Danio rerio: one gene and its partners. The main gene of each other region encodes a partner of the protein of the gene in region 2 in a complex. Links are inferred from orthologs where the notes say so. Each region holds a gene or a part of one and is shown on either strand. Other genes may lie near its edges. The genes, in order: cc2d2a, cep290, tmem107l, mks1, tmem216, tmem17 and ahi1.

Region 1 (3,500 bases), on a different chromosome or scaffold from region 2:
ATACAGCTTAAAGTGTCATTTAAAAGCTTAACTAAGTTAATTAGGTTAACTAGGCAGGTTAGGGGAATTAGGGAAATCATTGTATATTGATGGTTTGTTCTGTAGATCATCAAGGAAAAATTGTGTTTAAAAAATTAAAAACTGCTTTTATTCTAGCCAAAATAAAACAAATAAGACTTTCTCCAGAAGAAAAAATATTATCTGACATACTGTGAAAATTTCCTGCTCTGTTAAACATCATTTGAAAAATATTCAAAAAAGAAGAAAGAAATTTGAAGGGGCGAATAATTCTGAATTCAACTGTATACATTTCTTCTAATGAATGTGAAGTCAAGTTTCAGTGTTTAAAACGAGGTCTGATCTGCTCACCTCCTCTAGATGGATCCAGATCTGCGGGCTGATGAGGACTCCTCTTTTGCTGCCAGGCTGAAGTTTCGTGATGCGGCCAGACGTGCGGTCAAAGACAAGCAGGTGAGAAGCTCCCTAAAGGTCTTGTTATATATGAAGAGGTATAAATGCTCCATGTTCATGATTGCCTTTAAGGCCGTACTCACACTAGGTACATTTGCCTCGAACCAGGCCAAAGCACGCTTGTCCCCCCTCCCGTCTCTTTCGACGGCCCGCACTCACACCACAATCGGGCCTCGGCACGCTTACGTCATCGCTGCTGCGCTGTTCAGTGAGAAGCGCTCTCTCACTCACTCAGCAGCACAGTGGAGATTTCTCTGGTTATATCGTTTCAGTCGGTTTGATATGCAGTGACATGCAGTCAAATATTTCGCCAAACAGTCCTTAGGGATGCGGTGACACGCAGTCAGATATTTCGCCGAACAGATCCGCCACTTTTGGCACTCATAAACAATCATAAAGCCCTCGTGCTGCACGAAAATGGAGGTTTGCTGAAGGTGCAGCTGTCGTGCAGTGAGGGGTTTGTGTATTTAATAAGCTACGGCAGTTTGCGTTCACTGAACAGTAAGAATTAATAATAAATCCATATAAAAACAGCCCCTTAAAAGTCACGTCTCACTTTCAATTTCGGGCTTTGGTGCGTTTTGCACTCACACACAAGCGTACCGTGCCAAAGTCCAAGCGAACCACGCTCAGGCCCACCGCTTCCAACCGGGTCAGGGCCGGCCAAGTGAACCGTGCTTGAGCCCGATTCAGCCCACTCACACTTCTCAAACGATTCGGGAAACGGGCCTGGGCACGGTACGGATGGCATAGTGTGAGTAGTTCACCCAAAAATGAAAATGAAATAAAGTTATGAAATGGACAACATTTCTGATGCTCTCGGCTGCTCTGAACACTTTCTCCGTGCCACTTTAAATCCCAATATGCACTGGGATTCTATATGAATGAGCTGAAAACGCTCGCTGAAATGTGCTAGCGAGATTACGTCGTTTCTCTTCTGCGTCAGATAGAGGTTCGGCATTCAGCAGCTTCTGGAAGACAGTGATTTAAATGTATAATTAAAAAAATATTTGAAATATTCCTGTTACAAAAACACAAATCCACGTTTATAATATGTGTGTTAAACACTTGGTGGCATATAGTTTGCTCCCAGATTGCTGAACTTTTGAAAGCTTAAAAAAAAAGTGCCACAACCAAACACTATTACACAGCATGAAGATCCAGAATAAATGGTAAAACTACTCTGACTGTGTTCATCTGACAGAAGAAAATCATATTCATCCAGGGGAGGAAATAATGTGGTGATTTTCATTGTTTGTGTGACCCCATCCTGAGATCCTGACACTGAAGTGTGTCTGTCTGCTGATCAGGCTGAGGCTGGTTTGCCGACCGCCGAAGAGGCCTACAACTTCTTCACCTTCAACTTTGACCCGGAGCCTGAACAGCAGCGCCAGAAGAAGAAAAGACGCTCCAGGAGAAGAGAGGCAGAGGAGGAAGAAGAGGGAGACTCAGAAGGAGAAGTAGAAGGGGAGGATGAAGAAGGAGAGGAAGTAGGAGAGCTGGAGAGACAGAATGAAGGAGAGGAAGAGTCTGAAGCCAGGGTGACTTATCGTGCTTATCGTGTTTTTAAGCCCCACACTGCAAAAAACTGCTTTTCTTACTTAGATTTTTTTGTCTTGTTTCTAGTCCAAATATCTAAAAGTTCTTAAATCAAGAAGCATTTTCTACACAAGCAAAACATATTGTCTTGTTTTAAGAAATAATACGCCAAAATGAAGTGAGTTTTTCCTTAAATCAAGCTAAATAATCTGCCAATAGGGTGAGCAAAAAAATCTTATCACAAATCACGAAAAACACGATTATTTTGCTCACCCCATTGGCAAATTGTTTTGCTTGAAAATTGATATCCACTCATTTTAATCTGATTCAATCCCTGTCTAGGATGAAGACGACCCATTAGTCGGAGACGAGGAGGATTTGTTCATCATTGACCAATCAGCACAGGACTTCCTGGAAGTGAGGCGAGCGGAGTATGTTGACTACAGCAGGCGACTGCAGAGGGAGCGAGACACGCTGTTTGTTCCCAGCATGAGGCCAGGTACAGAAACCATCACTAAAAGCTGCTCACATCATCTGTATTAGTCACGAAAGTACATGAAATCAAATCTAACCATATTAATGTTGTTAGCTAATATTGCTAGTTTTGTGGTGAACAAATCATCTGTGTTGGTCATTAAGAAAAAAATGGTTTGCCCTTGTAATATTTAATTGATCTTTAATTAGTCTGTAAATGCACTTCCTGTGTGTTTTCAGTTAAATTCCCAGATTATTCATGTCTGATATATTGGGGGTGTGGCTAGCATGCTTAACCACGCCCCCTCCACTTGGGTTTGTTTTAATCCAGGAGTGTAATACTTAGTTAAACCACTGGGTGTCGAACTTGCACCTTTAATAATGGTGATAAATTTGCTCGTTGTAATTGTGATGATATATATTTTCATACAGTTACATCTGTAATCTGTGTTTAATGTGTCACCCAGTGCCAGCCTCCAGTAAGCTGGCGGAGAACACACGTCCACGTTTCCTGGAGGAGGAGGGTCTGTATGTGGGGGAGAGGCCGCACGTCTGCCTGACCAATCTCAACATATTAGAGAATCGAATACTGAAGCAGGCCGAGGTAATTTAGGCCCTGTCCACACTGGTATTCTCAAATCACACTTTTATTCGACGCGGTTTTGTTCACTCGAAAACACAGTGTCAGGTGACTGAACCTGAAACATTCTGAAAACTCCAGCCAGGGTGTAGATTTCCTGAAACTCTGGGTAGAGGGTGGTCATGTGGATGCTACAACTAGAGTTTTTACCTCATAATGTTTTCTCCTTCACACCAAATCACTGACACTGCATCGTCTCAAAGTCATGTTGATCAGCTGGTCTGTCTATGAGCTGACATACGAGTGATCTGCTAATACAGTGGTTCCCAAACTTTTTTCATCAAATACCACCTCAGAAAAAATTGTCCCCCCAAGTACCACAGTATGACCAGTATTGAAATACAGTAGTGCAGTAGGCCTAATTAAGCAACTACAG
Region 2 (4,266 bases):
GCCTATTAATATGACTTCAAAACAACATCAGACCTATTTAACTGTGACTGTGAACCATGTTGTACTTTGATTGTCATTAGATGTTAAATTAATTTTAAAATTTAGAGTTTGCGAAAAATGATTTTGTGAAATTAAATTACTAAGGAGAGAGTAAGCACCGGAGCACCCGGAGGAAACCCACACCAACACGGGGAGAACATGCAACTCCACACAGAAATGCCAACTAGCCCAGCTGGGACTCGAACCAGCGACCTTCTTGCTGTGAAGCAACAGTGTTCAATTATATTATTTATGTTTAATACATTTTCACTATTTAAGGTTCCTGTAATTTTGATGTGGTTTTATCATTGTGATTGGTTTTGTTTATTTTACATAAAGCTGAAAGAAAATGTTAGAACCTCTAAATGAAAACTAGAATTGATACAGGTAAATGTATTTTTTGTTAAATTATCAAAATGACTACAATTTACTTGAAGCATACTAATGAAGTAACTAATTGAAACATAAAGAAATACTATAACAGTGTTTAGATAATACTAAAACAATAATGAGAAGTAAATGTACTTTGTGAATGTTTTAGACCAGATCGGACATATAAATAAATAAACATACATACAAATACATAATCGTCAATCTTTCAATATTTCATTCATTTCGATGACCTTTTCCATCCCTGGAAAACCTTTTAAAAGCCTCAGAAATTGTATATAACCTTTCTAAAACAAGTTTATATTAGAATACTGCATTACGTCCTTAAGCAGCTACGAAATGCAGCAATAAAAGAGCAGATTAATCGCAGTAATAATGGGATAATCTGTGTGGACTGAGCGGAGCAGAGAGGGCGCAGCCTCACAGATCATATGCTATCAGTTAGCATTTGTTTTACATTCAGATCAATCGATTAATTAACACATTACAGTCAGAAAATAAAACATCGACACAACAACCAAGCGTAAAAAATAAGCTACATTTTAGTGAAAATAAAAAGACAACTGGACACATAAAAGACTGCTGGGTTTAAAGAACAAACATAACTTCAGCTGTGCTTTTAGCATTCACTGGTTTCAGTCATTTCACAATATCTTCTCTGTCAGCAGTCATCGCTAGGATGTAATTAAAGCAACTCACCTTGTCATGTCTGGGGAAAAGCTAAATGAAAAGAGAATATGTTTGTTTATGTTGACTAAAGCAGCAAGTTCGATCCACGGCATTGAATTAACAGAGTCCAACAACTGCTTCCGGGTCAAAATGCCTGGCACAACAAAAGTAGGGAATTACAGAGTAGCCGTTCGCGGATTTTGTGTTTCTGTAATGCCATTTCAAATAACGTATAGACACAGATAGATATATGGTTTTAGTTGTGATTCCCTTATAATGAATGGACCGCGTATAAAGGAAATATTTTTTTTAAAAAGAATCCAAACAGAGACAATTTTACGACGTTACGTTTTACGACTGTTTTCCTTGTTGCCTAGCAGCAGCGGGAGCGCAAGAGGAACCCAAGATGGCTTAATAAGGTCTGAAAACGTTATTTTCAGTGTCTTTAGTTTCACAAATATGTGTAAAAGTTGACATTAAGACGTGTTCAAATTTAGGTTTATGCTAACGAACAAAACCAACCCAAATACGAGCAATTGCATGCATTTCTAATTATCGACATTGTGAGAACTAACTAACGTTATATGTCTGGCTAATATATTTAGCATGGCGTTTTGTCGTGTATTTATTATTCTGCTATGACTCTTTTGTGCTGTGACGGTATATGGTGTTGTTTTCAATGAGAAGTCCGTGTGAAGAAATAAACTACATTCGTTTTGCATGTTGTCTGTAGGTAGAAAAAGACTGGCAATCTCAGCATCAGTTGTTCAGTTCAGCTCTGGGGGACATTTGCAGCTGACCTGAAGAATGCCTGCGGCCGCAGACTGGCGGCTCCTCATGGGAATGGATCCAGAGGATCTGGGGGATGAGGATGAGAAGATCTGTGATTTGATTTTAATGGTAATCTGACACGTTTGAGGCACACTAATTGTGAGGAGTGTAGCTAGATGTTACAACAATCTGCAACTACAATACAACAATCTGGAGTTGCAATTATTAAAGAAACACTTATATATATATATATATATATATATATATATATATATATATATATATATATATATATATATATATATTTTTTTTTTTTTTTTTTTTTTTTTTTATATTTTTTTTTTAATGATCACACACACAATATGTGATCATTAAAAAATGTATTTTAGACTCAACATTCTTGAATAGAATTATGGTTGTGTAAATTAGTGTTTCTGAAACACATTCCTGTGGGACCACCATCATTGCATGTTTTGGGTGTCACACTCATAACAGATAGAGGTAAAGTTGGTTTTATATTTGGATATTGAGACATTCTCATTAGTAATATAATTTAGATAACTTCTTTGCAAATTTTTAATAGAGAAATCTTATTAGCAGCAAATAACTATCAAAGTACAGCATTGTTCACAGTGAATTAGATAGTGTTAATGTTGATTAGGAGTCATACGAATATTCAAAGTAACATGGTAAACAATTTAGGGACTTCTAAATGAACGAATGTGCGAAAAGAAAACCAACTTTACCTCTATCCATTACAGGCCTTTCAGTCTACTAATGAGCTAATGATTTGAATTTGGTGTGTTTGGTTAAGAAAACATGGAAAATGTGCAAGGCTGGTGGTCCTCTTGGAACGTGGTTGAGAAACACTGGTGTATATAACTCATTCTGATATCACCCAATATGTTTTTAGTACAGTGGAGGGTAAGATAAACATAATTAGTAAGGACAAATTACATATTTTTTCTATTTTGTTAAACCGTTGTTTACTGAATAAATTGCATCTGTTAATCAGTTATAACTGCAATTTATTTTTCACAAAATATAAATATGTTGTAAACTATACTGGGAGCTTTATTACTTACACATTTCTATCATTTTAAACGCTACAATTAACAACAGGACTCAGACTGTGCAAAATAAATTAAATTATATGCAATAGTTAAAATGGCACTTTAGACAGTTTTTTCATTTATACATATTTATTTACACATACTATATATATTGGATATATACTTGATCAAAAGAGATTTGGTGTATGTTTTTATATTTATATATTTGTTTGTGTTTTCTGGTTTTATTTTTTTAGTAAATAAATGATAAAATTATATTTAACTACTAGTAATACAAACTATTTAGTGTGAATATGTGAAGTTACAAACTTAATGCTCAGTTATTGTGTGTGTTTGTGGTTGCATGTTCAAAAAAATATTTATTGTTTATTCTTTCAAGCCAAACCACAGAGCATCTCCAGCCTCAGGTCTTGCTTTCAGGCTAACATCCGCTTATCGGAATGTTTAAGGAAGAAAACATTCTTCTTGCAAATTTGTCTGATAATAAATTTCTTTTGCATACAGGTCAAACCACGGGACCTAAAAGCAGATGATTCTGAGAAAATGATTCAACTCTTTAGGATCTCACAAACCCTTCTGAGGGTAGGGCTGATTCATCATTTACGCAATGTTTGCAGCACTGCGTACAGTAGTTATGTAGTAGTTAACATTTACCAGATTTCTTTTAATTATGTTGTATGGTCATTGAATTATCATGAGCATTTGTTGTTATGAATCAGTTAATGTTATTATTTATGTTTGGGTTTTTAGATGAAACTGGATGAAATTAAATGTGCCTATGAGGTTGTAGACAGCGCAGGGGCAGAACAAGCAAGAATTGGTATGTATAATCATTGCTAGGTTTTAAGCATCTCCAGAACAAATCACAGCATGTGAAAACGCAGCATGGAAAACGCAAAAAAAAAAAGAAAGTAGTGATTTCCAAATTTGCTTTGACTTGTATTTCATTGCAGACAATATAAACACAAAATATTTCATGTTTTGTCAGGTCAATTTCAATTTCATTTAAATATGCATCCCTTCCTGTCATTCATACCTGCAACACATTCCAAAAAAGTTGTGACAGGAGCAGTTTAGGGATGATAATCTGGTAAATTGGTTAAATATTGATGTGATTTGAAACAGGTAGTGTCAACAGGTGATTGTAATTATGATCTGGTACAAAAACAGCATCCAAGAAAGGTCTAGTCCTTTAGGAGCAAAGATGGGCGGGGGATCGCCACTTTGAAACAAACACATAAGAAAATTATTAAAATGTTTAAAAACAAGGTCCTCAAAGAAAGATAGGAAGACATTTGAAAATTTCACCTTCAGTGCAAAACAT
Region 3 (4,084 bases), on a different chromosome or scaffold from region 2:
CCGAGGTTCGAACCAGCGACCCAGCGACCTTCTTGCTGTGAGGCGACAGCACTACCTACTGCGCCACTGCCTCGCCCAAGCAAAAACTTGTTTTTCAGAAATAAAAATAGTTTTTGCTAACAAAAATTTAAAAATTCAAAGGAAAATTTATTTTTGAAAAATAAAAATTACATTTGCAAACAAAAAAAGAACTGAAAAAAAAAATATATAAATATTTGCAAAACATTTTTAGCCTTGACCTAACCCATCCAGTCAACTGCAATGCTCATTTTGATTTGACAAAGGGGTGGAGTCAAGGGAACTTGGGCGTTTACGGCAGGCCTTAGGTAAACCTCTAAGTTCCCTTGACTCAGTCCCCTTGTCAAATCAGGGCCACAAAGTGAAAGGCGCAGAAACGTGAAGTACAAAGTGAAAACAGCATCACAAACTCACAGTTGACTAAAATCTAATTAAAATGACAATTGCAACTGACCGGGCAGGTTTTGTAAAAGCAATGCTATAAAAATGTTTTGCAAATATATATAGTTTTTTTTTGATTATTGCAAATCTTTTTGTTTTGTTTTTTTACTGCTTGATGTTTATTTGCAGTTCCTTTTTTGTTTAAATTTCATTTTTATTTCTCAATTTTCCCCTTTGCAGTTCTTTATTTTTGTTAGCAAAATGTATTTTTTATTTTTTTCATTTACATTTATTTATTTTTTGCTCAATACTTTATTTGTTGTTTGCAAAGTTTTATTTTATTTTGCACGTACAGTTGAAGTCCGAATTATTAGCCCCCCTTTGAATTATTATTTTTCCAAAAGGGTTTTTTCTTCTGGAGAAAGTCTTATTTGTTTTATTTCGGTTAGGATAAAAGCATTTTTTTTTTTAAACACCATTTTAAGGTCAAAATTATTGCTCTTTAAGCTATATATTGTTTCGATAGTCTACAGAACAAACCATGGTTATACAATAACTTGCCTAATTACCCTATCCTGCCTAGTTAAACCAGTTAACCTAGTTAAGCCTTTAAATGTCACTTTAAGCTGTATAGAAGTGTCTTAAAAAATATCTAGTCAAATATTATTTACTGTCATTATGGCAAAGCTAAAATAAATCAGTTATTAGAAATAAGTTATTAAAACTATTATGTTCAGAAATGTGTTGAAAAAAATCTACTTTCCGTTAAAAGAAATTGGGGAAAAAATAAACAGGGGGGTAATAATTCAAAAGGGCTAATAATTCTGACTTCAACTGTATATATGGCCCTAGATTGACTTTATATACCAGGTAGGTCTTGACCACATTACAGCTCCATATAATTTTTTACGACCCATGACTTCAGGTAATTTACTGTCAAAAATCTGAACAAAACAGAAGACTTTGGATGAGATGTGTAAGAAACTAGTACTAGACACACATATGGGAGCTGTTTGCGTTAATCATAAGTTGAAGATTTGACTCCGATCCATGAAAATATAAGAAAATAATACACAATTTATATGCATCAACACCTACAGTATATATATAACCTATAGTGGTGATGTGCTACTGGTAAGGATACACAGAAGAGCTTGGTTGTTGTTGAACATAGAGATTCCACAGAGAAACCCAACCAACTCGATGGCTAACAGGCCAAGAGTCACGGATAATGCCACCACAAGCCTGTATTCCAAAAACAATGGTTAGGACAGCGTCATGAACAGGACTTACTATATCTGACTCCATAACATTATTCACATCTACATATAAATAATGTACAATTTACTATCAGTCAAACAATAATATGCTGTAAATGGGTCAAACAAGAAAAGCCATCAAAAGATTTTAAAGTATTTTGTTTCATAAATTAAAAGGTACATTTAATTAACAATTAAAATACATTCTGTATTGCGGAATGAAAAAAAAAAAGACTATTTTAGTTGAAATCTTGCAGGTTGTAATTTCTTTTCTTTTTTGGATTATTTTGCTTGAATGTAATTGTAATATCTTTCAATTTCTAAATATGTTTGATGACTAAAATATTATTTGAATAAATATATCTGTTTAATAAATCTGTTTTGTTTCAAAGGGGTGTACTCATTTGCTGAGCACTGTGCATATATCATGCACTTGATGCTATCGCATTCCTAGGTATACCCCAACTGCATTTTGTTGCCTTGTACATGTATAATGACAATAAAGTTGAATCAAAAAATACTATTCAGTCTCACTACATGACCGAAATAATTATATTATCATTTAGCCACTGTGAAGCAATACAGAACAGAGAAAGTGTGTTTCCCAACCGTGTGTCCTCTGCTGTGTACTCTTCATTAGTGTAGTCGAGTGGTAGACAGGCTCGGACACTGTACTCCTGTAGGTCATTCCACATTTAAACACACAGCTGGCTGCAGTGATGTTGTGTGATATAAAAATAACAATTACACACACAAGAACACTTCTTACCCGAGACCAGAAAATGATTATCACTATTACAAGGTGCGCGATGAGAGTGAGGAAACGGGCAGGCACCAGACTGCTGACCACCGACATTGAACACTAGACAGAGAAGAAAGACATAATAACTTAGATTGAACTGTGCAAGTGGATGACTAACAGTTAAAGGTTTAACGTGTTCATCTTCACAAAACGTGAGGTTGTATATCAAAATGGTATACGTACCAGCTTTGCGTTAGTTGTTAAAACCTGATTTTTCAAATGGTGAGCAGTAAAGTAGATATAGCACTGTATATAAGGCTACTATGCGTATAAGTTTATCAAGCTTGAGGACAGTTATCGCTCGATATAAGCTTCGGGTTGCTACGACAACACTCTTCTTCTATTTGGCGAATGGGTTATGGTCAAAACAGACCAACAAGTAGCTCAATGCTGTCACCTGCTGGAAGGAGTCGCTTTCTGACTGGTCCTCAACTTGGTTTTACAATGTCTCAAAATGTTCATTCATTCATTTTCCTTCGGCTGAGAGCAGGTACTAAAGGTGAAATAACTTGAAAATGGTGAACTGGAACATGGCAGCGCAGACAAGTAGTAAGACAATTGGAAAAAATTTATTTCAAAGACTTCATTATTGTGGTCAATAGGGAGCACTATCAAGGTGTTCGAGGTGTCTTAAACAAGCCTTTTATTCAGTCATTCATTTTCCTTCAGCTTAGTCTCTTTATTTATCAGTGGTCGACACAGCGGAATGAACTGCCAACTTATCCAGCATATGTTTTACACAGCGGATGCCCTTCCAGCTGCAACCCAGCACTGGGAAAATCCATACACACTCATTCAAACTCATATACTATGGCCAATTTAGTTTATTCAATTCACCTATAGCACATGTCCTTGGACTGTGGGGGAAACCGGAGTACCCGGAGGAAACCCAAGCAAACACAGGGAAAAAAGCATCTGCAGAAATGTCAGCCGGGACTCGAACCAGCAACCTTCTTGCTGTGAAGCGACAGTGCTAATCTCGAAATGAAATGCATTTAAACAAACTAAGTTGTTTTTTGTTTTACGGTCTCATTTTTACAGTGTATCTATAGCATAAAGTACTGAGTGGCATTAATTAACGATATGGAGTACTTACTATGGTTATGGGTTTTTGCATGTGATTATGCATAATTTATTGGTATTATAGTAAGTGCATAAAACGTGTGTAATAAGAGCCCTATAAGTTAAAAGGATAGCTCACCCAAATATAAAAACGTGTTTGCTGTTTATTCAAGTGGTTGTAAATCTTTGTGAGTTTCTTTCTTCTGTTAAGCGATAAAGGCAATACTTTAAAGAAAGTTGGAAACCTGTAACTTCCATAGCATTTGTTTTTCCTATATGGATGTCAATGGTTGCAGGTTTTCAGCATTCACAAATCAACAAATAAATGAATCATTAGTTTTTACTGTAGCCTACAGCCAGACGTCGTTGGTCTAGTAAATAATAAATAAATACTAACTCAGTGGTTTGCTATCAAGGGCATTTGCTGTTCTGGAAGGCAGTAAAATATTAACCTTAGAGTTAAGAAATTGAGAATAGACAGTTTTAGGAAGACTTTTTTTTTTACATTGTGGTGACAACATTTGCCATTTTATTTGCAGGGTGTGATATATTTTTAATAAAT
Region 4 (3,500 bases), on a different chromosome or scaffold from region 2:
GCAAATAGACTAGTAGTGCAAATACTTCAAAACCATCTTATTTTAGCATTATTTATATAGTGTTAAGGCAGCAGTGGCACAGTGGGTAGCACAATCCCCTCACAGCAAGAAGGAAGAATGCTTCCCAGTGATGGGTTGCAGCTGGAAGGGCATCCACTGTGTAAAACACCATCAAGTTGGCGGTTCAATCCACTGAGGTGACCCCAGATTAAAAAAGGGACTAAGCCGAAAAGAAAATGAATGAATAAATGAATATATAGTGTTGTAGTATTACAACAAGTCTCTTTCACTTGCATTGGCTTCCTCTTCTTTGTCATGTACAGTATAAAATTCCTCTATTAACTTACAGAGATCTTCACAACCTGGCACCCGATTACCTCTCTGATCTTCTACACTGGTACACTCCTCGGCGCTCACAAACATCTTCTACAGCTGAAATGTTATCATTTCCAAATTTTAAGATGAAGTAATTCGGAGGCAGAGCTTTTTTGCTGCATAGCACCACAGTTATGGAATTCCCTGTCGTTAGATATTCGTCATGTGGACTCTACTTCCAATTTTAAATCACAGGTAAAAGCTTTTCTGTTCAGGATTGCTTTTAATGATTTTCTGGTTTAATATTATGTTTATTATTCTTCTGTCTTGTATTTTATGATGTGCTTGTGACATATTGTAAGGTGGTGTCTTTGAGTGCTTTGAAAGGCGCCTATTAATAAAAGGTATTATTATTATTATTAATTATTGTTTTCAATTATTTTAAAATGTTCAGCTTAAAACAATTAAATCTTTTATAAAAATAATAAAAATACAATATAAAATTATTCTATATTTTCAGTTATTTAAGGTAATTAATTATTTGCTGTTATGAGTTTATTTTTATATGTCTACTTAGCTCTTTTTTTCAGTTTTAGCATCTCATAACTTCATAAAATGAAATTGAAAATATTGACCAGAACCTAAAGTCATAATATTACATGCATTTTGACAATCAATGCATATTATAGTACTTACATCTCGGTACATGCGCTGCTCTCTGTCTTTCTCCTCTGCTTGAATGTCTGATGAGGCGTTCTCCAGATACAACCTCCACACTTCCCTCTTCTCCCCCTCTGTTTCCAGCCTGGTGTAAATGATAGTCAGAAACATCTGTAATCACGGTGAATTCAAACATGTACTTCTCCAGAAAAGTGAATAGAAAGAGAACAGAGGTGGGTCTTGCCTGTAGGCTCCTCTGTTGTTGTTAAAGTCTGGTTTTATTGAGATTACTCCATTGCCGTCCGCTTTTATTGTGCATAAAACATATTCATTCTCTTTCAGGCCCAACCTGTAAAATAGTTAAGTGAGTTGATTGTGTTGTTCTATAGAAAATACACCAATCTATGACTATAACTCACATGCAAGTGTCTGTTGTGTGACATATACAGGGTATGTGGACAAAAGTCTTACAGCTGAAGAGGAAAATGGTGACTTTAAACTACACAGTGTGAAAGCAAAGCCCTTAAGTAGTGTAATAAGTGGCCCCTCAGGTCAACTAAATTCTAGAAAATTGTATGATATGGCTTCTTTAAATGGCAAGCATTGTCTCACATACTTTCCTGTAGGTCCAAGATCAGCCATGATGTACATGGTCTGCACTGGCGTGTTGATGATGTGACTGTTCTTCACAAACTCCTCTGAAGGTTCCCATGTGATTAAACGGGACTTGGGAACATTCGACTCTCTATATAACAAACAAAATAATAATAAATAAATAAAAATTAAATAATAATAATGCCGGAGTAATTGGTGTTTCATTCCACTGTGGTTAGCTCTGAAAAATCAGGGGCTAAGCCAAAGGAAAATGAATAAATGAATGATAATATTAATAATTAAATCAAAAAATTATTTGTGTACCAGTAAACCTCTAAAATGTCCAAAATGTGATCAACTCTTTACAGAAAACAAATTGGTTTTTTTATACTTACGCGGGACGCCTCTCTTGTCTCCTGTGTCTTACATTGGCCATGCGTTCTGCTAGGAAAGTAGGTGTAGGCTGAGCTGGAATCACCAGACTCTGAGCTTGCTGCCAAAAAAAAATGCAACTTTAGATAATTGTACAAACAGATGTAGCCAAGATTGATGTAGCTATGGTCAATCTAACCACACTGCTCAAAATCATGTCCAAGTCTTATTTTACCAAAATAGTTTCATAATTGTTTTGTTAATAAGAAACTTGAGAACTTTTGCTATGAAAATAATTATTATTTTATTTTATATTATATTTTCGGTTTTAATGTATATCAAAAGTATTTATTCAACTTCATTTCAGAGTCTCATGTTATCTTATATCTACATAGTAGGTATGTGGCTTAGGTAGGTTAAAAAATTATGCAGTAAGTTTTATATGCTCATTTATTAGCCCATAAAACACCCCTAGAATCAGAAAGTCCTAACTGACAATATTTGGAAATGTCAAAAATATTAATGCTTTTATGACTTCAGGCTGGACTACTGTAATGCACTGTTTGCTAGCTGCCCAGCATCCTCTATTAACAAACTTCAGCTAGTACAAAATGCAGCTGTCAGAGTTCTTACCAGGTCTAGAAAATATGATCATATCACCCCAATTTTATCGTCCATACACTGGGTGCCTGTTACTGTAGGTTTCGTATTGAATTCAAAATATTGCTTCTTACATATAAAGCTTTAAATAATCTAGCTCCTGTTAATCTAACCAACCTTCTGTCTCGCTACAATCCAACTTGCTCTTTAAGATCTTAAAACTCAGGGCTTCTGGTAGTACCTAGAATAGCAAAGTTGAGTAAAGGTGGTCGAGCTTTCTCCGTTATGGCTCCTAAACTCTGGAATAGCCTTCCTGATAATGTCAGAGGCTCAGACAAACTCTCACAGTTCAAAACTAGATTAAAGATCTATCTGTTTAGTAAAGCATACACTCAGTGCATTACTTAGCGATTTTCAAAAGGTTTCTGCATCTTGTTTATATACACTATAAACAGCAGCTACGTTATTATTTTCTTTATTTCTCTATTTCCACCTAGGGATACTCTTCCCAAGGCCCTCAGACTATCCAGAGTCACTGATCCGATCCAAGAACAGAGACGAGATGATCCCAAGGTTTCCATACCCTGGACCAGGCCGTATCCTGAGCTGCTTCTGTAGTGGTCATGGAGAGCATGAGACTGATTCTTGTGACGCTTCAGGGACGGACGAGTCTTCGCTGAGGCTCATCGTCTAGCCTCTGCACAAGACGTTTATCCAGCAGAGAAATTAAAATGGTCATGCCCAAATGAGTCTGATTTCTCTCAAGGTTTTTTTTCTTCACTTTTTTTCCCCTCTCCGCTATCACCACTAACTTGCATGGTTTGGAATTGGTAGAGCTACACTTCGATGGATTTGCTCTACAGTGTTTGGACCCTCAATAGTGATTATTAAACCACACTGAATGGAGCTAAACTGAACTGAACTTAAACACTACAAACTGAACTACACTGTTCCAATTT
Region 5 (4,252 bases), on a different chromosome or scaffold from region 2:
TTCTTGATTCACAGTGCATTGATTTATTCTACTATCCCTAAAACTAAGCTGCGGTAGGCATCTCATATAATGCATCCACTAAAAGATGTTGAAAATTATTACCAGTATTACTTTCAGAGGTGGGTAGAGTATACAAAATTTATACTCAAGTAAAAGTAACAATCTTAAAAGTTACCCAAGCTGCAGCAAGAAAACATCTGCATATATGATTTTCTTCATTACCTGTAGTACAAACACTTCCTGTTTATTGCCGATGAGTGTATATATATGATACAAAAAATCAGTAGAGATCAATGGGAATCAGGCTTTCTTGTGCTAAACACCCAGAATGCATTACACAGTTACGTCAAATTCCTGTTCTCTATAGACAAGTTATTGTGTTTATAGTTTTATATAGTATCTCAAATCGTCTAGACATTTACATATTATTCAATAATCCCAAAGAAGATAACATAAAAACTGTAACAAAACACGTTTGAGTAAGTTAATTAATTGACGGAATGATCAGCTCAAAAATCTGTAGCACTTTTCAAAAAACATTTTTATAAAGTCCTATGGGGAAGAAAAAAACACTTCTAGAACTAGCACTGCTGAAGAAGCAGGCCCGACTAATGCACACTTTATTTATTGCTAAATTTTGAGCATCGTCAAACACTGCTTCACAAGGTCTTCTGAAGTTCTGACTGAGCATAATTTCAGTGCACTAACTGAACGATTCTACAAACTAAAGCAGATTAAACAACTTTATAAGGCACTGACCATAGAAAAGTCTGAGTGTTTCAAGGCCAGAGAAGAGGAGCAGCAGGACAACATCCAATATCAGATTATCTTGTGGGTAAGGGAGTATCACTCCTACAAATGTCAGAGCAAACAGTGATTACTTGACAAATAAAATCACAAATTTTCAGAATATTTCAAGAGGCCATACATCACCTTTGTAAATGAACATAAGAATCTCAGCAACGAAAAATGCAGCAAAATACCAGCCGTTCAAATGAAACAGGATCTGCAGTGGTGTGGACGACAACTGAGGTACTTTGTTAAGAAGCAATATCAACAGAATAAACAAAGACAAACGAGTAAATAATAAGAAAAAAAAACAGCTTGAAAAGATACAACAGGTTGTCTTCCTGCAAAAGTGAAAATAAATACTGAATTAGTGAAAATAACATAGGTCTAAAAGTAAAAGTCCTTTAGTCTCATTTATGCATCTGCCATCTTGGAATGGGTAATGCAGTTTTTCAAGATGCCACAATATTGTGCAGTCTCTACTTGTAGAAGAAAAGGGGGGCACTGCCACTGACATTTTTATAACCAAAGATAGTGTAAATATAGATAGCATAAATCTTTCACAGGTGAGAATGTGCTGGTTTGTGAATTTGTATGCATTCATTCAATATTACAGTCAGTTTGCCTATCAGAGTTCACAAACCAGCTTCCTATATTGCACATGGCATGCATATACAATGCTGTTTTGGGTCAGTGGCTCATTTTCTTCCTCAAAAGTCTTTGTTAAAATGTTTCAAGCCATAATCCAGGCCAACTTGTTAAAAGTTTTCTTACATTACAAACTCTAGTATAAAATAAAGATGAGTCTGAAAATGAAATAAACGTACAAAGTTACAGGACAGTGTACTTTTAAAGGCATAGTTCATCCCCCCCAAAAAAATGTAATCACTATTTACTTACTCTTAAGTGGTTCAAAACTTTTACAAGATTTTATTTTTCTTCTGTTAAACATAAAAATATGAAAAGACCTGAAAACCTGTAACCACTGACTTCCATCGGGGAAAAAAAAAACTACAGAAATCAATGGTTACAGGTTTCGACCTTTCTTTAACTGATCTACTTTTCTGTTTAACAGGAAAAAAAACTCATATAGATTTGAAACCAGGACAACTCACGACAGAACTTTGATTTTTGGGTGAACTATCCCTTTAAAATGACATGAAGCATTTGTGAACAACATTAATGACTAAAGAACAAAGGAAAGATTTAAATTTCATTAAAATGTGTTGGTTGTATCTACAGAGAATACCTGAGCAGCATCGTTGGTAGTGTTAATAAGACAGTAATGTCAGGTGCTTTTTTTAAAGTATATTACAAAATTAAATGGATAGAGTTTTATATTATTAGATTTTTTGCAAAGTAAACACATCCTACCACTATAACTAACAGCCTTTTTAAGATTTTCATACAGCTCATTTTAAGACACAGTGTTGAAATTAATCGGGTATTCTGCCCCAATTAACTAGTAATAGTGGTTATCAATATTTTTAGCAAAGTAATATGGTTATCTATAAAAATTCTCATTAGACCTATGTTTTTTCAAAAACACGACTTTTTAAAGATGAAAATAAATAGGTTGCATTTAAAGTGTTGAAGACAATAGCTGCCCCACAAGCACAATTTGTACAAAACAATACTGACAAGTGCGAGAACACATTTAGTGAACACGCGGTTAAGTAACACACACAGATTAAGCATTGAAGTAAGATCAACAGGCAGTTAATCATTATGCAAGAATATAATAAAAAAAATAACATCTATTTGTTGGAAAAAAGACAGGCGTGCTTTAAATGGCTAAAATCGGCTACGTGATGCCTACTTTCCACCCTAAACAAAAGTGCACATTCTGCTCTATTAGTCCGCTTGTTTCTTCAAAAACGTCTGGGTCTGGTTTATTAAAGTCGCCCACTTATTTAAGTTAAATATGCGCAACTAAGGTGAACCAATAAACTTACTATCAAAACCAAAACATTTCCGTTTTGCTTACCGTGGGCAGCCATGTTAGATTGCCATGGACACGCATACTGTAGGCGGAGACAAACATCGGCCATCCAATCAAATCAAGCAAACGGGTCAGTGATCAAAAACATACAAGTGCGAGAAATGAACACATTCTGTAGTAAGCACACACATTTTCCACCTATAGTCCACAAGGTCAAAACAAAATGGTAACGGTCACAGCTTACGGTTCATATAAATATAATAATCTGTATATTCATATGCACACTAAGCAGCAAAACAGTCACTGCCACTGAAATAAATAACCTTTTATACGTTCCTTTTAGCCAATAGTATACGCAATGTTGTATTAGTGTTATTCATAGTTATGATTATTATACATAGCACACTACTATTTCATATTCGCTATTATTAATTCCTCTATTCAGATATAATGTATTTTTTATTCTACATTATTGTATAGAATTTGTACTATAATAATAAGGTGTGATTCTTTACTTTTTATAAACTGTTTTTGTTAACTGTTATAAAACTGTAAAAAAAGAGAGTATTTTGATAAAGGTATACATTTACATATCTTTTTATAACATAAAATACACATTACACGTTTGAGCTTTCTTCTAGGTAACTGGAGGTTTTTTTTCACACCATACAATTATAATCAGTTATTAAATATAAGCGTTATTGTATTTTCTATCCGATAAAATAGCAGCTCCTCCGTTCACGGACCGAAGCTACAGTGCTCTCTGGTGGCTTAAACTGAACTATATTTTATTTTTAGACATACAGGTTAGATACAGATAAATTTACTATATGCCTGAAAAATAAGACTTATATGCATGCAAAATAGAATATGAACATACGAAATTTAGTCAAACAGAGAATCACAGTTGCTATTATTTAAATACTCATAAGATGGCGGTGCGGTGGCGTTGCTGTGGTTACCATAGTCAGTGGCGTTCTAAAAAAGAATGTGTTCGAAAAATGACGTTGAGAAACTAGTGTGACCTTCATTAAGTGTCTGGCCATCGCTGACATTAGCGGTATGTAAAGATCTCTCTTAAAGTATAATTTTAGGTTATATTTTGTTGTTTCGACGAGATTTTGGTTGAATACACTAAATATTTTAGTATTTCTTTCTGTCATATCGTTTCAGAGTAGTATATTAGTTTTTCCACGTCTTTCTTCGGTTAGACTGTTGATTGTACTGAATGTTGGATGGAAATGGAGATTTCTGTATAGACGACTTGTTAACTTTAGCATTTTGAATCCATATTTTTCTAGTTTGTGTATTCTGTTATCTTCTTTAGTAGCCTGTTTATAATGAATGCCATTTGTTATGTTGTCAGTTAGGTAGACCGATAGATACGATATTTTTGTTTGTGTGCTTCATTTGTATATTACTGTCTAACTTTTGCAGGTTGTTATTTGTTATATCGTCTGGTAAATTAATCGGTTATAATGTATTTGTATGCTGTCAGCCTAAACTACAAACAATACAGCA
Region 6 (4,061 bases), about 12 Mb from region 2:
GGAGCAATGCATCTAACTACAGCCCTAGAGGTTTAGTTGTAAGCTTACAAGTTTGTGATGCAGTTTGCGAATGTTCAATGGAACGACGGATTTGGGAACCGCCAAATCAACAAACTATCTTTGTAACGATGGAACTTGTGACCTTGGTTTGCTAACAATTGTTTTCGGAAAAGCACCCCAGGTTGTAAGTACTGCGTCTAAATGCTAAAAGAAGAAATCGGAGAAGTGACAAAAAAGAAAGACCAGGCAATGTATTCAAAATTAAATTTAAACAGATCATCCTCATCAAAAAAGTTTAAGATCATAGCCTTAAATGAAACGCTCAACATTTAAAAAAAAATAAGTTTAAACAGTTGAGTTTTAGCATTTTTTATTCAATTCTGTTGATCTTCAGGTCTGGTGTGAGCACTTTTAGCTTAGCTTAGCATAAATCATTGAATCAGATTAGACCATTAGCCTCTTGCACAAAAACTTAAAGTTATATAAGTTACACAAGATAATTTATATTTATATATAAATATATATATATATATATATATATATATATATATATATATATATATATATATATACACATATATATATATATATATATATATATATATATATATATATATATATATATATACATACATACATACATACACGCACACTCTTCTATAGTTACATTATGTACTAGGAACTATACTCTTATTCTAAAAAATATTTCCCATCTAGATAACAGTGCTACATATTAACATTGTCCCTGCTGCAGCCTTGGTATGGCAGCTAGTCCCTTGATTATTACACCAAAATGAGAGTATAGTTCTTAGCCATATCAACATATCACTTGCGCTTGACGCTCCTTCCACGTCTGGTGTGAACAGCATTAGTATACAATGTGACTAGAAAAGTGTCAAGCTCTAAATAGAAAAATTATCTCCAGTTATTATTTGTATTTTTGGAGCAAGATGCTAATGGTCTAATCTAATTTAATGATTTATGCGAAGCTAAAAGGGTTTTCACCAGACCCAGTGATCATCTAAAAGGATTAAAAAATGGCAAATCTTTTCTGTTTAACTCTTATAAGTTGAGCCTGTTCCTCCTGAAGTGGAGTGTTTCATTCAAATCTGCATAAAAATATGGCTTTCGTGCTTCCCTCCTGAGTGAAAATCTGTACTGAAGATGTAGTAAAATCAATCGAGACAAAAGCAGTTGTAGGCTTTGGAAATTAAAGTTGTAATCTTTATGTTACAACCAATATCATTGCTGTTCTTAAACTCTAATCACTGTGTTTTGCACAAAATAATGGCTTTTTGTCAAAGTGTCTTGAGTGTTTTATAAAACACTGTTCTGTTGGTACACAACTGAAATCCCTTCAAATTCTGAACAATGAGGAGTTAAAAATTCTACATAGTCACTTAAAATAGTTGTAAGATAGACAGATAGATACCTCAGCAAAGATAAATAAGGCCAGTATTATATGAACTCCTCTCTCTAGTGGTTGAACAAGAACAGCCTCATTGAAGAGCTGGAACAAAATCAGAGGAAACTGAAGTAGAAAAGTCAGAAGCCAAAATCCAGCCAATTCTGGAACCTACTGAAAAACAACAGATGCATAATGGGACCAATTATAGGATATTACATGATATTACATTAAATTAAGATTGACCTTTTCTTGCAGATTTCCAGCATTGCCCAAATACAGCCTAATAGCCTCAATCAGGGTCATTACAATGAGAATTGTGATCAGGATGAACTTGTAATAATCTGCAAGGGCTGAGTACTAGAAGAAAAAGCACAATGATTATTAGCTGTAATATCTAACAACAGTAATATGATTAAACAGCCATAAGATCATATTGAAATGTTAAAAATGACAAAGACGAGAATCACCTTTAGGTCAAGCATCACAACCTCACTGATCCACCAGAAAGGAAAGAACCACATGTTAAAGTAGAGTGACATCTGAAGAGGGAGACTCGATACTACATCCTTATCTGAGAAATAATAGTGCATAAAATTAAAATGACAAATTAGCTTTGAATAAAGTTCATTTTTACTAATCTTGGGCATCCTAAATAACCTGATTCGGAACCACAGATATATAATATGTATAATAATAATACATAAATCAGTGTTCGGAGCCTGTATAGGATGGAGTAAAATAACATTTGGCGAATCGGTTCTTTTGAACAGTTCGTTTTAAATGAGTAACTTTGTTCACTTGGCTGTTTTACCTAACTAAACTTGGTTAAAGATATCCAAAATATTTCGATTCCGTCAACCTATTAAATCATCTAGTTGCCTTACTTTAAGTAGTTTTTTTGACTAATCACGTTTTATGAAAAGGTCCATTAAGAAGATCCGATTCAAACGAACCATTTATTATGCTTTTTGGTAACGCAACGTAGTTTCGTAGGTCCCAGACAGGAATAACGCCAAATGTTATCAACTTCCTTTTAAGATTAATGCTACCATAAAGCATTATTATATCTGCATATGACGTCAGAAAAAAATATGTTTACTAGCAAAAGCTACATGAAATCGTACAACTCGGCTAACCAGATGAATTAGCCCTACAGCTAACGTTCACGTAGCAGATCAAATGGAAGCTCAAACACACTTACTTTGGTCTAGAAAATTTGCGTGCTCTTCGAAAGAGGGTTGTGTACGGCTTTGGTCCACAAACACGGTTCTGGAGAAATCTCCAAGCCGTCGCCTGATGGGTTCAGGCAGGTCCATGTTGGGAGAAGCAGACGTGTGTCCGTAGCAACCAGTCTATGGTAGCAACGAAGGCGGATCTTCTTGAGCGGTTGTGATGGTCCAGCTGTGACCACCGGGGGATGTTTTTCACTCTCACTCACACACACTGCTCAGCTGCACTTAACAGGTTTGCTTGCTTTGTATGATGGCGAAATAAGATACATTATGCTGAGTTTTATCCTGCAATGTGTATAAAGAATAATATTAATATTCCTGGCTTAAACTATCACTTTAAGTCAGCATGAAGTAAAAAAATGTACAATGTTTATTTTGCTAGAGGACATTGGTAGTGTTAAGGTGAACAATTAAGTAAAGTCGCTGATCATTTTTATTGTAGGTAATCTTTAATCAAAAACCTCCTATTTGATTCTGCTCTGGTGTGGGGGTCCTTCTCTGATGACGTCAAGTATGAGAACTAAAATAAAACCCTGCCCACTACTCAATGTTCAGTTTATTCAGTCTTGAGATCCAGGGTTTCTATTAGAATTTAGAGCTTTATTTTAAAGAAGGTTCTTTTTGGGTTCTTCACTTTTGAGAAACAATATGAAAAGATATATTTTTTTTGCAACCCAAGGTTCATTCATTCATTTTCTTTTCGGTTTAGTCCCTTTATTAATCCGGGGTCACCACAGCAGAATGAACCACCAATTCAGGGCCGTGCACAGACATTTTGAGGGGCAGGGGCACTAAGTGGGTGGGTTCTTGCTTATACAAATTTTCTAGTTGTTGTAAAAGTACAATTAAAAGAAAAAACAGTACACTCTGTAATAATTTCAGAACTATTTACCATTTTACATTTTTATATTTACCTGTACCTTTAAAAACAAAACTTTTTTTGTCCTGAAAGATCTTGATAAGCTCATCTTACATGTATGTGATTCACATTTACACATTGCGGATAATAACAGAAACTATTTACTGTTGGATGGACAATCTGAACATTTTCTGTCTCCATCACCTTTACTTTGCTGAGTTGACTCGGAGGGAGTTTCATCTTAGAATGAATAACAAAGCATTTACAATATTTAAATTATTTAAATGTCCATCTATCTTTGTATGACACTCTAGCATATCCCTTCCAGATTAACAGTCTTACCTGTACCTGTGTGATTTAGCTCATGCTCGGTGGTCTCCCTCATTTTTTGAACCTGCTTCTGCCTCATCTTCAATGGAAAAATAAATATTACACGTTTAATTTAATATTATACACCATGAATTTATATTAACTTTTAGAATATTAATATTGCATTTTTTTTTACTATTTATAGGCCTACTGTTGACATGGTTTTAATAAAATGATTTGCTGTAGCCTGTGA
Region 7 (3,500 bases), on a different chromosome or scaffold from region 2:
GTTATAATAATAGTAATAATAATAATAATAAAATATTAATATTAATATTATTAAAACAGCTCAGGGATGAGCTTTTTTGAATTAAGGGTTGGAAATGAATGCTTGTCTTGTTTTTTGATCCGATTAATCGAAAAAATTATTGATAGATTACTCGTTATTAAAATAATTGTTAATTGCAGACCTAATGTACAGTTGAAGTCAAAATGATTAGCCCTCTTGTCAAATGTTTTTTCTTCTTCAAATATTTTCCAAATGATGTTTAACAGAGCAAGGAATGTTTCACAGTATTTCCTATAATATTTTTTCTTCTAGAGAAAGTTTTACTTGTTTTATTTTGGCTAGAATAAAAACAGTTTTAATGTTTTATGGTCAATATTATTAGCAATTATTATTTCAATTGTCTACTGAACAAACCATTAATATATAATAATTTGCCTAATTACCCTAAACTGCCTAATTACCGAGACCCGGAAGGGACGTAATGTATATTTTTGTAAGTTTTTGCGTTCCCTTGCAAAGATGTTTTGCGTTCCCTCAAAAAACTTGTTCTACAAACACTTCTTGTTCGCTTTATACATGTCAAGCCTCCCATTTTTGCCAGGATTCTCCCGTATTTTACCATTCTGTCCCACTATTATCCTATCATTAAGTATTTTCCCAATTTTCTCCCATATTTTTACTCTTGAAAGCACGCTGAAATTAATAAAAAAAGGTCTGCATTCACTTTCTGTCCATTAAAGCTGTGCGTCGATCATTGCTCTTCATTTACAACCTCTGAATCAGCGAATGCATGTATATGTGCCTACTGACAGATGCAGCTCCGTATGATAAACGGATAAACGCAGAGGGAACGCAAAAACTTAAAAAATATATTTTTCTATCATTCCATTTTTTTCATGTCTCCATAGCTAATTAACCTAGTCAAGCCTTTAAATTGCATTTTAAGCTAAACATTAGTATCTTGAAAAAGAGCTAGTAAAGTATTATTTACTGTCATTATGCAAAGATAAGATAAATCGATTATTAGAAATGAGTTATTAAAACTGTTATGTTTAGAAATGTGTTGAAAAATCTTTCTGTTAAACAGGAACTTTGGAAAAAATATACAGGGAGCTAATAATTCTGGAGGGCTAATAATTCTGACTATAACTGTATAAGTGTATGTATATCGTCATCTTGGAATTATAAGGTTCTATCTGCGTTCTGAATGATTTTGAGATATTGAGCTTCAAAGTCTTTGCATTCCAAAGCAAACAGTCTGTGTGTAACATTTGTTTTTTGTTTTTTATAAAAAGTCTTAAAATGTAAACAACTTATAAAAACATCCCAAATTATAAATAGGTTGTCATTTAATAAGAATATGTCAATAACTTAATTTTAACAAAAATGTCAGATAGAACCTTATAATTCTAAGATGACGATATGCTTCCTTTATGCACTTTTTTGCACATGTGATTTGTGGGTTTGAATGCGATGGTTGATTCTGGTAGTGCCTGTTGAGGAGGAGCAGACAGAAGAAAAACCAGCCTTTGATGACAGTTTGGTCCTGGGAGTTTATATCCACAGAACAGACAAGCTGAAGACCGACCTGATGGTGTCTCACCCCATGGTCAAAGTTCATGTGGTTGATGAGGTCACTGGACAGTATGTCAAGAAGGAGGACAGGTTTGGACTTTTCTTTCTTCGTTTTTTCACTAAAACCAAAACCTGCTAGAAGGCATTTGGATCTTAGGTTTCAAACCCGTATCGTGTTTCCTTCTGCTTACAGCCATCGTCATGTTTCATCCTTCTATGAGCAAGAAAACATTGAGCACATCCTGCCCATTATAACTCAACCATTTGACTTCAAGAAACACAAAACAACAGTTCCAGAGTGGGAGGAACAGATCATCTTCAATGAGCGATTCGGATATTTTCTACAAGATGACGACGAGAGTCCACGTGTGATGCTGCTTTTTGAGGTTTGTTAAAAGTTTAGGATTACATTTGCATTGTCAAAGCAAAGAATTGAATAAGGATCGCAGTTTACATGCTGTTACAGATTCTGGATTTCATCAGTATGGAGGAGGCTCGAACAAACGTCTCAGTTGATCGACATGAAAGAGGTTTCAGAAAGATTGCTTGGGCTTTTTTGAAGGTACCAGACTTTACTGTAGTTCCTGTTATTTTTTTTATATTTAATAATTTCATGCTTGTTTATTTGATTATTAGCTCCATAGCTGTTTTAATTTTAATTTTATGTAGGTTAATTCAACCTCTCCCTATTTAAACACACCTGAATCAACTCATCATAACATAAGAAGAGACTTCAAAACCTGAAGTTAATGGGTCAGATAAGGAAGACATCCAAAATATGTACCAGCACGAGTGGTCTTTATTGAACCTAAAAGAGCACATGTCACTCCACTACTCATCCGTTTGCACTGACTGCCAGTCGCATCAAATTCAAAGCTCTGATGTTTGCTTACAAAGCGATTTCTGGCTGCGCCCCTTCTTATCTGCTCTCACTTCTGCAGATTTATGTGCCCTCCAGAAACTTGTGTTCTGTGAATGAATGTCGCCTCGTGGTTCCATCTCAAAGAGGGAAGAAATCACTTTCCCGAACTCTCGCATTCAATCTGCCCAGTTGGTGGAATGAACTCCCTAACTGCATCAGAACGGCAGAGTCACTCACTGTCTTCAAAAAACAACTTAAAAGTCAACTATTTAGTCTCCACTTTCCTTACTAATCTGCAATTCCCTCTCTGACCTCTCCACTAACTACATAAAAAAAAAATACTACTGTTTTGTTTCTTACACTTTCTTTGCATACCTGAAACTTGCCTACAGCACTTACTTATTGTTGCTTTTATGGTTGTGTAAATTGCTTCCTTGTCCTTATTCGTAAGTCGCTTTGGATAAAAGCATCTGCTAACCCTGCTGAAAAATCCAGCTTAAACCAGCCTAGGCTGGTTGGCTGATTTTAGCCGGTTGACCAGGCTGGTTTTAGAGGGGTTTTGGCCATTTCCAGGCTGGTCTCCAGCTATTTCCAGCCTGGTCTTGGCTGGTCAGGCTGGAAAATGACCAGCCAAATCCAGCTAAAACCAGCTTGACCAGCCTGGTTTAAGCTGGACATAGCTGGTTTTGTCTGGACTCCCAGCTTGGCTAGGGTGGTCAAGCTGGTTTTAGCTGGTCATCTCCTAGCCTGACCAGCTAAGAGCAGGCTGGAAACCAGCCTGGAAGTGGCCAAAACCCCTCTAAAACCAGGCTGGTCAACCAGCTAAAACCAGCCAACCAGCCTAGGCTGGTTTAAGCTGGATTTTTCAGCAGGGAAATGACTAAATGTAAATGTACTGTTGATGTGTCTCTAGGAACAGGGTTGGGAAACACTGGGTTAACTGTATCCTTTTTCAGATGGTCATTGTGTTCTTCAAATGTTTCTTCTAGCTTGTAGGAACCAATGGGGTGTTGAACATTGACACCAAACTGCGTCTGCAGCTTTACTGCCCTCCTCCACGAGC

Evidence for each region.
Region 1: cep290 (region 2) and cc2d2a share a complex: the UniProt entries of both Homo sapiens proteins name them as parts of the tectonic-like complex. The link is inferred for Danio rerio from reciprocal best matches to the Homo sapiens genes CEP290 and CC2D2A.
Region 3: cep290 (region 2) and tmem107l share a complex: the UniProt entries of both Homo sapiens proteins name them as parts of the tectonic-like complex. The link is inferred for Danio rerio from reciprocal best matches to the Homo sapiens genes CEP290 and TMEM107.
Region 4: cep290 (region 2) and mks1 share a complex: the UniProt entries of both Homo sapiens proteins name them as parts of the tectonic-like complex. The link is inferred for Danio rerio from reciprocal best matches to the Homo sapiens genes CEP290 and MKS1.
Region 5: cep290 (region 2) and tmem216 share a complex: the UniProt entries of both Homo sapiens proteins name them as parts of the tectonic-like complex. The link is inferred for Danio rerio from reciprocal best matches to the Homo sapiens genes CEP290 and TMEM216.
Region 6: cep290 (region 2) and tmem17 share a complex: the UniProt entries of both Homo sapiens proteins name them as parts of the tectonic-like complex. The link is inferred for Danio rerio from reciprocal best matches to the Homo sapiens genes CEP290 and TMEM17.
Region 7: cep290 (region 2) and ahi1 share a complex: the UniProt entries of both Homo sapiens proteins name them as parts of the tectonic-like complex. The link is inferred for Danio rerio from reciprocal best matches to the Homo sapiens genes CEP290 and AHI1.

The regions. Positions count from the first base shown.
Region 1 is NC_133198.1:2,308,778-2,312,277, forward strand, and holds part of cc2d2a (coiled-coil and C2 domain-containing protein 2A), read left to right. Parts: intron 1-378; coding exon 379-471; intron 472-1,781; coding exon 1,782-2,012; intron 2,013-2,352; coding exon 2,353-2,509; intron 2,510-2,951; coding exon 2,952-3,088; intron 3,089-3,500. UniProt on the Homo sapiens protein: Component of the tectonic-like complex, a complex localized at the transition zone of primary cilia and acting as a barrier that prevents diffusion of transmembrane proteins between the cilia and plasma membranes.
Region 2 is NC_133200.1:18,973,537-18,977,802, reverse strand, and holds the start of cep290 (centrosomal protein of 290 kDa), read left to right. Parts: upstream 1-1,466; 5' UTR 1,467-1,517; intron 1,518-1,831; 5' UTR 1,832-1,905; coding exon 1,906-1,998; intron 1,999-3,446; coding exon 3,447-3,524; intron 3,525-3,692; coding exon 3,693-3,762; intron 3,763-4,266. UniProt on the Homo sapiens protein: Involved in early and late steps in cilia formation. Its association with CCP110 is required for inhibition of primary cilia formation by CCP110.
Region 3 is NC_133198.1:31,419,244-31,423,327, forward strand, and holds the start of tmem107l (transmembrane protein 107 like), read right to left. Parts: upstream 2,801-4,084; 5' UTR 2,644-2,800; intron 2,521-2,643; 5' UTR 2,515-2,520; coding exon 2,428-2,514; intron 2,336-2,427; coding exon 2,268-2,335; intron 1,645-2,267; coding exon 1,544-1,644; intron 1-1,543. UniProt on the Homo sapiens protein: Plays a role in cilia formation and embryonic patterning. Requires for normal Sonic hedgehog (Shh) signaling in the neural tube and acts in combination with GLI2 and GLI3 to pattern ventral and intermediate neuronal cell types.
Region 4 is NC_133180.1:61,439,270-61,442,769, forward strand, and holds part of mks1 (tectonic-like complex member MKS1), read right to left. Parts: intron 2,063-3,500; coding exon 1,965-2,062; intron 1,721-1,964; coding exon 1,592-1,720; intron 1,325-1,591; coding exon 1,220-1,324; intron 1,121-1,219; coding exon 1,012-1,120; intron 1-1,011. UniProt on the Homo sapiens protein: Component of the tectonic-like complex, a complex localized at the transition zone of primary cilia and acting as a barrier that prevents diffusion of transmembrane proteins between the cilia and plasma membranes.
Region 5 is NC_133189.1:29,311,898-29,316,149, forward strand, and holds the start of tmem216 (transmembrane protein 216), read right to left. Parts: upstream 2,801-4,252; 5' UTR 2,790-2,800; coding exon 2,777-2,789; coding exon of another isoform or gene 2,760-2,776; intron 1,131-2,759; coding exon 1,117-1,130; intron 1,028-1,116; coding exon 934-1,027; intron 853-933; coding exon 760-852; intron 1-759. UniProt on the Homo sapiens protein: Part of the tectonic-like complex which is required for tissue-specific ciliogenesis and may regulate ciliary membrane composition.
Region 6 is NC_133200.1:30,968,122-30,972,182, reverse strand, and holds the start of tmem17 (transmembrane protein 17B), read right to left. Parts: upstream 2,801-4,061; 5' UTR 2,725-2,800; coding exon 2,610-2,724; intron 1,980-2,609; coding exon 1,876-1,979; intron 1,766-1,875; coding exon 1,652-1,765; intron 1,577-1,651; coding exon 1,433-1,576; intron 1-1,432. Other genes in the region: PKc_like domain-containing protein, read left to right, coding at 2,826-2,872. UniProt on the Homo sapiens protein: Transmembrane component of the tectonic-like complex, a complex localized at the transition zone of primary cilia and acting as a barrier that prevents diffusion of transmembrane proteins between the cilia and plasma membranes.
Region 7 is NC_133192.1:9,401,718-9,405,217, reverse strand, and holds part of ahi1 (jouberin), read left to right. Parts: intron 1-1,490; coding exon 1,491-1,665; intron 1,666-1,768; coding exon 1,769-1,961; intron 1,962-2,041; coding exon 2,042-2,137; intron 2,138-3,426; coding exon 3,427-3,500. UniProt on the Homo sapiens protein: Involved in vesicle trafficking and required for ciliogenesis, formation of primary non-motile cilium, and recruitment of RAB8A to the basal body of primary cilium.